Linked DNA regions of Arabidopsis thaliana. The protein of the gene in region 1 purifies or fractionates together with the protein of each later gene. This does not show direct contact. Each region holds a gene or a part of one and is shown on either strand. Other genes may lie near its edges. The genes, in order: DJ1B and AT3G20390.

Evidence for each region.
Region 2: the proteins of DJ1B (region 1) and AT3G20390 fractionate together in Arabidopsis thaliana (co-fractionation; one large-scale study listed by BioGRID). This does not show direct contact.

Annotation. Positions count from the first base shown.
Region 1 is NC_003070.9:19,864,083-19,869,257, reverse strand, and holds DJ1B (Class I glutamine amidotransferase-like superfamily protein), read left to right. Parts: upstream 1-1,868; 5' UTR 1,869-1,916; coding exon 1,917-2,078; intron 2,079-2,156; coding exon 2,157-2,357; intron 2,358-2,457; coding exon 2,458-2,607; intron 2,608-2,697; coding exon 2,698-2,880; intron 2,881-3,320; coding exon 3,321-3,401; intron 3,402-3,538; coding exon 3,539-3,739; intron 3,740-3,825; coding exon 3,826-3,966; coding exon of another isoform or gene 3,967-3,978; exon of another isoform or gene 3,979-4,118; coding exon 4,119-4,316; 3' UTR 4,317-4,488; downstream 4,489-5,175. Other genes in the region: AT1G53282 (Plant thionin family protein), read left to right, coding at 923-1,128, 1,218-1,254; ABCG10 (ABC-2 type transporter family protein), read right to left, coding at 4,608-5,175. UniProt on the Arabidopsis thaliana protein: May be involved in oxidative stress response.
Region 2 is NC_003074.8:7,109,224-7,114,065, forward strand, and holds AT3G20390 (endoribonuclease L-PSP family protein), read right to left. Parts: upstream 2,707-4,842; 5' UTR 2,677-2,706; coding exon 2,289-2,676; intron 2,062-2,288; coding exon 1,946-2,061; intron 1,846-1,945; coding exon 1,801-1,845; intron 1,417-1,800; coding exon 1,343-1,416; intron 1,248-1,342; coding exon 1,198-1,247; intron 1,099-1,197; coding exon 1,004-1,098; 3' UTR 663-1,003; downstream 1-662. Other genes in the region: AT3G20380 (TRAF-like family protein), read left to right, coding at 1-64, 155-315, 387-547; AT3G20395 (RING/U-box superfamily protein), read right to left, coding at 2,797-2,940, 3,048-3,203, 3,373-3,456, 3,659-3,813, 4,437-4,569. UniProt on the Arabidopsis thaliana protein: Hydrolyzes the Ser-derived enamine/imine product of Thr dehydratase, protecting the plastidial branched-chain aminotransferase BCAT3 (AC Q9M401) from inactivation. Involved in Ile biosynthesis.

The DNA.
Region 1 (5,175 bases):
GATTCCACACAAAGCCAACTCTCATATTTATTATCTTCATCTCCTTTCAAAATTAAAAAGAAAATATCAAAAGAAGATAGAGGAGTACAAACCAATTTTTTAGGGTTAAATTTTGTATTATAAATTATCGGACTCAAAATGTTCATCAATACAAAGCAATATATCATCAATGCAAATCTTTACTTTGCATCATTTTCAACATGCAAATCTCATCTTCACTTGAAAACCTTCCTTTGGTTCTTCTCCTTCATGTCTTTGTATGCAATATGGGACATTATACACATATTTTTTCATCGATTGAGTAATCTATTTTAAAAATATTTGAATCACATTATATGCATAAAAAATCTAATATTTTATTAACTATAAGTATTTTATAGAAATTTAAAATAAATTAAATAAATAAAGTCAAATAAAAGTGAAAGAAGAATCATATATTTATGTTTAAATTAGATAGATAGGTTTTAAAAAATTAGCAATTAATAAAAAAGGCAATGTTTGTGGAGTGCTAAATCTTTTATTTTGATATTTTTTGATATTTTTATATTTTAATAAAAAAGGCAATGTTTGTGGAGTGCCATTGTAAATAAGTTGAAAGGCTAAAGTTTTTTTTATCTCAAATATCTCCAAAATTAATTATATCATTTTAAAATATATTAAATAAACTATTTATAAAAAATTATAAGATTTAGAAATTAGTTCTAAAATTAAACATTTCATTAATAAAGTGGGATTATTTGGAAATATAATAAATAAAACTATAATAAAGTAGGATCATGTGGAAATATAATAAATAAAACGTAAACATATTATTAATGACATTAAATAACATAAGATTTACCAGTGCATGATTCTTACCTATATATATATATATATACAAAGTTTGTAGTGAACATATATATAATTATTTATACAAGAAAAAATGAGTCTTAAAAAATGTGTTGTATTGATGGTGGTGGTGTTGGTAGTTATGGTTGCTATGGTAGAAGAAGTAGAAGGGCTTTCATATGCTACATGCATGGACCTTTGCGAGACCAAGTGTAACTTTTTTTTTACACATCCAGAAAAATACTGTAAAGATAAATGTGACCGCAAATGTCGTAGACTTCAGTCAGCTCAATCATCCCAGTAATAATCTCTTCACTTGTTTTATTTAGTTTGATTAAAAAAATATTTTGTATAAAGAAATTGACATGATTTATATAAAAAAATTGCAGGATGGAGACTATAGAAATGAGAAACATAAATGGGTAGATAAGTTGACAAAATAGTCGAGATATTTGTAAGATTGATGAAGTTTTCATATCAATAAAAATATTTTTTAAATTATAAAACTTTTTTTTATACCAATTATAAAAGAAGCAAAGATTAAAAGAAGATAGAAGAGTGAAAACCAACATTTTTGGTTTACTTTTGTAGTATTATAAATTATCGGACTCAAAATGTTCATCAATACAAAGCAACATCTCATCAATGCAAATCTGCACTTTGCATAATTTTCAACATGCAAATCTCATCTACTCCACTCGGAAACCTTCCTTAATTGGGTTCACAACTTCATAAGTTCACATCATAGATCTGTGTTATTGGGCTGTTTTATGGCTTGTAAAAGTTGGACTAGACCCACTAATCATTATAGCCTGGACTAGGCATGTATTTTCTTTTCTTTCTCCTACAATATTATCTCTCATCAATACATCAAAACCACAACAAGTTTATGAACAAAACTCTGAACCGGGAAGTTGTTTTCTGATAAACCAAACTACACGCCGTCTTGAGTTGATTGATGACGTGTTAAAAGATTAATGGCTGATTGTCATTTTCCATCCAATCACATTAAAACACGTCAGGATAAAGCCCGTTTCATCACTGCTTCTCTTTCATCAAAAGTTCTTTAAGGAAAAAAAAAAACGTCAATGGCGTCGTCGTCGTTGTGTCATCGCTATTTTAACAAAATCACTGTCACTCCCTTTTTTAACACTAAAAAACTCCATCACTATTCTCCGAGACGAATCTCTCTTCGTGTAAATCGACGATCCTTCTCTATCTCTGCAACTATGTCTTCATCTACTAAGAAGGTACATCGTTCTCATCGATTTCGTTCTTATCCCTATCGATCCTGTAAATTTCTCTTGATAAATCTGAGTTTTCTTTAGGTTTTGATTCCTGTTGCTCATGGTACGGAGCCGTTTGAAGCGGTGGTTATGATCGATGTGCTACGGCGAGGCGGAGCGGATGTTACGGTGGCTTCCGTTGAGAATCAGGTCGGCGTTGATGCTTGCCATGGAATCAAAATGGTCGCTGATACTCTTCTCTCTGATATCACCGACTCGGTTTTCGACCTTATTATGCTCCCTGTACGTCTCTCTCTGCCAATCTGAATCCATTTGGTATCGAAATAGTTTCTCAATTAGATGTATTGATTTCATATTTGTTTTGGTGATGTGATTGGTTAAGGGAGGACTTCCTGGTGGTGAGACTCTTAAGAATTGTAAACCTTTAGAGAAGATGGTGAAGAAGCAAGACACTGATGGACGACTTAACGCTGCTATCTGTTGTGCGCCGGCGTTGGCGTTTGGTACTTGGGGACTACTAGAGGGTAAAAAAGTATGTGTGTAGTGAGTGATCAGTATCCAAGAAGTTTTCTTTTCTTTTGAGTTTGTATTTTGGTGTATAAATCACATACGTTGCTTGCAGGCTACATGTTACCCGGTTTTTATGGAGAAACTAGCGGCTTGTGCGACAGCTGTTGAGTCAAGAGTGGAAATTGATGGGAAGATAGTGACCAGTAGAGGGCCTGGAACTACCATGGAATTCTCTGTCACGCTTGTGGAGCAACTTCTTGGGAAAGAGAAAGCTGTTGAAGTCTCTGGCCCCTTGGTATGTCTTATCCCTGACTCTTCTATCAACCTTAATTTGGTCTCCAAATAATCGACAGATCTTAGAGGCCAGTTTCTGTTGAGAAGATGGCTCTCCGCAAAGAAGGATATATTTAGTAGCTGATTCGAGGGGAGCACTTATTTGATTTAACACTCTTTAAAGCACCCTAGTATTGTTAGTTCATGTAAAAAAATACAAATACGTGTTTTCGACCTCACTAATACTGTGATTTCCTTGAAGCCTAGGCCTGTGGCTGAATTTTTCAGCATTATTTCCCCTGTCCACTGATCAGTGACTGTTCTTGTGAGATTACAGACAGTTGAAAGCTATATAGGACACTGAAAAATTTAGGTTTCCACAAAGAAACAACCATTCCTTGGTAGCATAGGCTTTATTCCATGGTAACCTCTTAGTCTCTATTCTTCCCCTTTGCATATCAGGTGATGCGTCCCAACCCTGGTGATGAGTATACTATTACTGAGCTTAACCAAGTCAGCTGGTCATTCGAGGGTACCCCACAGGTAGCTTTCAATTGCCTGTCTGGCAAAATGAAAAGAAAAAAAAGACTGGCAAAACTTTTCACACTTGCTTTACTGAGCTCATGCGTCTTTCTTAATCAATCTTCCGTACACTGAGAGATCATGTTTTTCCTTTTCAGATTCTTGTACCCATTGCAGATGGCTCGGAGGAAATGGAAGCTGTTGCTATCATTGATGTCCTGAAGCGGGCAAAAGCAAATGTTGTCGTAGCTGCGCTTGGTAACAGTTTGGAAGTGGTAGCATCTCGGAAAGTCAAGCTGGTGGCAGATGTGCTTCTCGACGAGGCTGAAAAGAATTCGTACGATCTGATTGTGTTGCCTGTGAGTGCTAACTTCTTCAAATTACTAAAGTTTATAGTGTCAAGCAAGTTGAGGCCAACATGATGAACTTCTCTTTTTATTATCAGGGTGGTCTCGGCGGTGCTGAAGCATTTGCAAGTTCGGAGAAGCTAGTGAATATGTTAAAGAAGCAGGCGGAATCAAACAAACCATATGGAGCAATTTGTGCCTCTCCTGCTCTGGTGTTTGAGCCACATGGTTTACTCAAGGTACGAGAGTAATCACAATAGCACACACATTTGCTTAGATGTGTAGGATCATTACTATATATCCGATGGCATGGAGTATTCTGTTATCAAACCGTTATTTTTGCACTTAAAACTAAGGGAAGGGTCACAATTTTTAATGGATTTTTTTACAGGGTAAGAAGGCAACAGCGTTTCCAGCAATGTGCAGCAAACTGACGGACCAGAGTCACATCGAGCATCGAGTCTTGGTGGACGGCAATCTCATAACGAGCAGGGGTCCAGGAACCTCATTGGAGTTTGCACTTGCAATTGTAGAGAAGTTTTACGGGCGCGAGAAAGGACTTCAGCTCTCAAAGGCAACACTTGTGTAAACTCATGAGTATCTTAGGTAAGAGTGACTTTAATAAGAAAAAGGCTTTAGTATCAAACGATCAATGAGTGTACCGTTGTTGTGGTGAGCTTTGTACTAAGTGTGATGCTTAAAACTGTCTTATAAATAAACGAGTTTACTCTGTTTTTATCAGAAAGTTTTTTTGTTACTTTACATTGCGAATTTTAGAATATAAGAAAGTGCTGAACAAAAAGAAAGAATATGAGAAAGTAAAATTTCTTATAAAATTACAAAACAAATTGAATTATATCTGCAGATCATTGTTATTAACCTAGCTTCTTGTTCTGTAACATCTGTACCATAAGATGAAGAATCCAAGGACTCTGTACCCGACGATGAAACTTGCCATGATACCAAGATTGCTCCATTTCTGAGACTCTTTGAGGTCTTGTTGTTTTAAGAACACGTCTCCTCGATACTCGTTGATCATCAGGCATTCGAATGGATACTTGAAGAGGCTGAGATAATGCATGAACTCCCAGTAAACGGGGATCCTGTCCTTTGCAATGAAATACCCGGAGAAGAGGAAGAAAGATCCCATGAGACCTGAGATTACTGATGTCCCCATTATGAAGTTTGGGACAAGAGCACTGAAACATGCGACAAAAGAGTTTGACATCAGAAGAACAATCCATATCACCAATGAGAAGTAGAGGAAGCCGTCTAGCTCTCTTCTGAGACCGACCAGCCAATAAACCGGCGTAGCAAAGAGCATGCTTATGATCAACAAGAAGGGAATGAATATGAGAGTATCTGCTAAAACGTAAGACAAAACTCTGTAAGCCCTTCTCGATGTCTCTCTCATTAGGATTCTCCTGTCTTGCAAGAAAATTGGAAGT
Region 2 (4,842 bases), on another chromosome or scaffold:
GATTCTCGACGCTGCTCAAAGAAAGTTACCAATCCGATGTGTTCTCCATTGGAGGAAGAAGCATGTGAGTACCACATCATTACAGAAGTAAAAACTTTGCGCTATAAGAGTATAGTGGTAGTAATTAACAATTATTGTTTTATATGATGATCAGGTATTTACAAGTGTTTCCGAATGGTCGTAATCTTTCAAAGGGAAAAGCCATGTCGCTGTATCTTAACATTAACGATAAATTCAAACCCTTTGAGATGATTTATGTTCGAGCCAAGCTTCGAGTTCTTAACCAACGCAAACTCAATAACGTCGAAATACAAGGTACGTAAGAAAATGGATATATAACATCTCATCGCCATTGACTAATGGGATTTTACTTTCTTTTTTCGCAGTTAGTAATTGGTACACTTCTTGGTTTTATTACTCGGGCGACTTTCAGATTATCCCTCTAGCTGATCTCAGAGATTCATCAAAGGGTTTTGTTGTGAATGATATGTTGAAGGTTGAAGTTCAACTCGAGGGCATTTCCTCAACCAAGTGGTACCCTAGTTAGATTTCTCAAACTATAGGAACTTGAAGCTCCATGTTTTTCCTTTGTTACCAAACCACCTAATAATAATAAAGGGTAATTTGTGTTTGCATTTTTTTTTACATATATTTTCTTTCTCTAGCAATATTAAATTATCATTCCTCTTCTAACGACCATATTAAGTTATTAACTCTTGTCTCTTCAAGCATAATGGTTTTCACTCAAATAAAATAATGTATACAATCAATACATATACGTCAACAGCAAATGAGGGTGGACAAGACACTAAATAACTTATTCTTGATTAGAGGCTTTTGATTTGTAACCAACCTAATGGTTGATAATCCGCAACATTTTTCGTAGTGCAGCAAAATGAAAAGTAGGTTAAATATGGGTTAAGCCCCAAAAACCATTGTTTCTCTTATTTGTTTTGACATCTTCCGGACCAAAATACCCTTCGTAGAGATTGATTTGAGTGTTCTAGAGTGTTGCAATACATTCAATCTCGATCTTGGCGTTTAGAGGCAAAGCTGCAACTTGATACGTCGATCGTGCTGGAGAAGGAGCTGGGAAGTCTGCAACAGAGACAAATGTTTCATGCCCTTAACGACTCCACTAATAATTATGCATCTCAAACAAAGTAGGAACACAAACAATCTTGTTAAAGAACTCACATTTGGCATATATCTCGTTCACTGTCTTGAAGTCAGCCAAATCAGCCAACCTTTGAGAGAAAACCAGAAGAGATTGTTTTTCTTTCTATTTAGATTCAGAATTCAAATGGACAATGGTACTGTTGAAAAAAACAAGATCCCTTACATGATTGTTGTCTTCACCACCGAGGAATAATCAGCACCACTAGCTTTCAATATCTCCCCCATGTTTTTGAGTACCTTTGATATTCCATAAGATAATAGAAGCAAGTAGATAAAATCAGGAAGGAAAAACAGAGCAACTCAACCTTGCTACAACTACACTGGAACAAGTTAATTTGAAGACTAATACCAACCAAATCAAGAATTTTAAAGCAAAACCCAAAAGTTTCAAAGGCTTAGTTTTGTATCATGAAAGTTTATATCCCAATAAACTCAGCTAGAATAAGGCACATTAAGTTGTCATCCCTCACTACATTTTCACCAACAAACAACATCATGACGACCTAGAGGCTAGACCTCCTTTTCTGTGGATAATCATCCACCAAAACAGAGAAGCAAGTGGAAAGTACTCTAAACAAAACCAATTTTTATAGAGACTACGGTGACAGTTTGAAAGCTAACCTGCTCAGTCTGATCTTCGACGCTCTCCGAAACAAACTTTCCAGTCTATATACACAAAACAAAAAGAGCAAATCTTGTAATCTTAGAACACAGAAAAGAGAAACAACATGGTGATTACACAGTTTCATATCTTATATATACGGACCTCAGGTATAAGTCCAAGAACACCTGAAAGAAAAACCAGATTATTGGCTTTAATGGCCTGAGAGTAAGGTCCCAAAGCAGCTGGTGCTTTCTCAGTAGACACAACTTCCTTCTTCACTGCACACCACACACAACATCACATTTCTTTAGTAAAAACCCTATTCTCAAACCCTTGATCATTCAATACGGAAGATGAAAGAAACTAAAACCCAATACTAACAAACATATGCATTGATGATAACTGAAATCAATTTCAACTTTTTGACACTGACATTCATAAAAATCGCATCTTTAGAAAGTACTAATATCGGTCCAAATTGGAGAAAATTGAGTAAAATCGTCACCAGAAGAAGCAGAGACAGAGAGGGAAGCGAAAGGAGGAGATCTAGAAGACATTCTGAAGAGAGAAACACCAGCGAATGTTGCGCAGCCGACACCAGCAGCGACCAATGGGGTACGAGTGGAGCGAAGTGCGGTGGAGAGGTCGAGTGTTGGAGTATTTATGGATCTGAAAACCGACCAAGTCATCTCACTCTCTCCGGCGCCGACAAGAAGTATAGAATAGCGAATGGACCACGAGAGAGAGAGAGAAAGGTAGGTGAAGAAGAAGAAGAAGACTGAGTCGATGCGATTGGATTTTAAGCAGATGATTCTCGTGCTTCTTCTTTTGTCTTCTTCCTTCTCTTCGAAATGTTTTTTTGTATTTCCCACTTTACCCTTAGTTAGGTACATATATTACTGAGAATTTAATTTTTATTTTTGTGTAGTTTAGTTGGATTGCAAATTTTAAAAATTTGGACCCGTTGGGTCATGTCGGTCCATAGCTTTGTGAAGTTTATCCACAACATATTGTTATGTAGAAGTTGTGTTATGTGAAAGATGGTCTCTACAAATGGGGCAAGTTTCTTGTCTAAGCAACCACTCATCTATGCAATTCATATGAAATGTGTGGCCACATCTTGCTAGCTTTCTTCCTACTTCCCCTTCTTCCCAATCCTACACACCCCAAAAATGAACATTAGAAATATATATGATTTAAGTCATTATTATCATATATTAAAATCTGATTCCTAGATGATTCTAATTAATTACATTTTTATCACCTGTAAGCAAATCGAGCAACTCGATTTTGTTTGATGTTCTGAACGGTTGTAGAACATCGGGATGTTCTGAATAGAGCTCTTCGATAGTCCCTTTTTTTCATGATTGAAATCGTATAAGTTTGAACTCTCCATGTAACTTGTATCCAATGCTATTATCTGCATTTTGTATTATAATATTACCGGAGTTAAAATTTTGTAAAATATACTTAGTTTAACGCTTTTTGTTATGGTTCTGATTTTACGTTAGAAAATATCGTGTTCTTGTCAAATAAAAAGACGTAGTTGAAAAAAAGTCAGAAGAACAAAAAGAATGGAGAGTACTTACTTGCCATTGATATGCTTTGAGAACAAAAGGTCTAACCAATCCCATAATGGCTTTCCCATTCACTACTCTCCTGAGTAAAGCCACCTGCCACTCTTTTCATATTTTTGTCACCAAACTATTGTTACCATAACATCATCTTTTATTCAGATAACTAGTTACTAGAATACCATTCATTTTTAGCTAGCTTTCTTAATTACAGGACCACTCCCACTATTTAACTAGAAACATATGGTTGTTTAGTGATTTATTTTTTAGATTCTAGGGTTATATGTAGAGTCACAATCACCTTAGACAAAGGTTGATCACTATGTAGCACCGGTCCAAAGAGTTGGACCGCAGTGATAACTCCAGCCACCACTCCAAGCACACTACCTTGAAGAAATCCGATGTCAGTGGTGTGACCTTCGATGGCTCCTACAATGGCGGCTACCACAACACTAGCTACATTCAAAATTAATGACATTTCGTGATCTTATAAAATTGTTTAACATGGAATGTGGAATGAAAACAATGCAATGTGATATGTTAAAATGATACATACCAAAAAGAAAGTATATTTTTCTAAGAATTTGGATGAAGATATTGTTGACAAAAAGATATACTTTTCTTAAAGAATGAGAATTTAAGGGTAGAGAATCCATACATAAGATAAGTTATTAAATTCAATTAAGGAATGCATAGACAACAAGTAATTCAGGTTAAAGGAAAAAACTAAGAAAATGGAAAAGAAGATCCCACATCAGACTCTTATGGTAAGTAGAAGTTGCTTGACACATCGCATCCATTCAAGAATTTTCTCTTTATCTTTTTGTTAATATGTTTTAGTTCTTTTATCAAACACTCATGTCAAGTTGTCAACTATATATAGTATACATATGTGTGGATTCATATATGAGAGGTAAGTACATGTCAATGAAGTACATATATCCAAAACCAATGAGATGGCGTCTCAAGTTTCATCTTTAAAAGTACGTTAGTTTAGCAAGCATCTATAGAATTCAAAAAAAAAAAGGGGAACAAACAGCATTAAATGATAAGAAAATGAAGATAACTTGTAAATTTACCGGAAGCAAGAATGAAGATGAATGAGCCCAACAAAGCTCGTTTTATCGTTCTTGACATTTTGAAGATCACGCAAGTAATCCAGAAAGAAACAACATATGTGAATTTCAGAAGAATCATCTTAGAAATGCCCATGAAGAAAAGATGGAAGACTAATTGATTTTTTTTCTTTCTCTTATAAGATATTTTGAATTTGTCTATTTATGGGGTGAGAGCTTGAATTGGAGAGTGGTGTGGAGTGTGAGAAAAGAGCAATTTATAAAGGAAAAAAGAGAGAAAGGAGGAGGAGTTGCATTTAAGAAGCTGAACTACCCATACCTCTAATCTACATTGCATTGGCGACTCTATTGGCGCATGCATGAACTTGCGCCCACAGAAGAATCTAAATGTTTTATAAAATAAAATAAA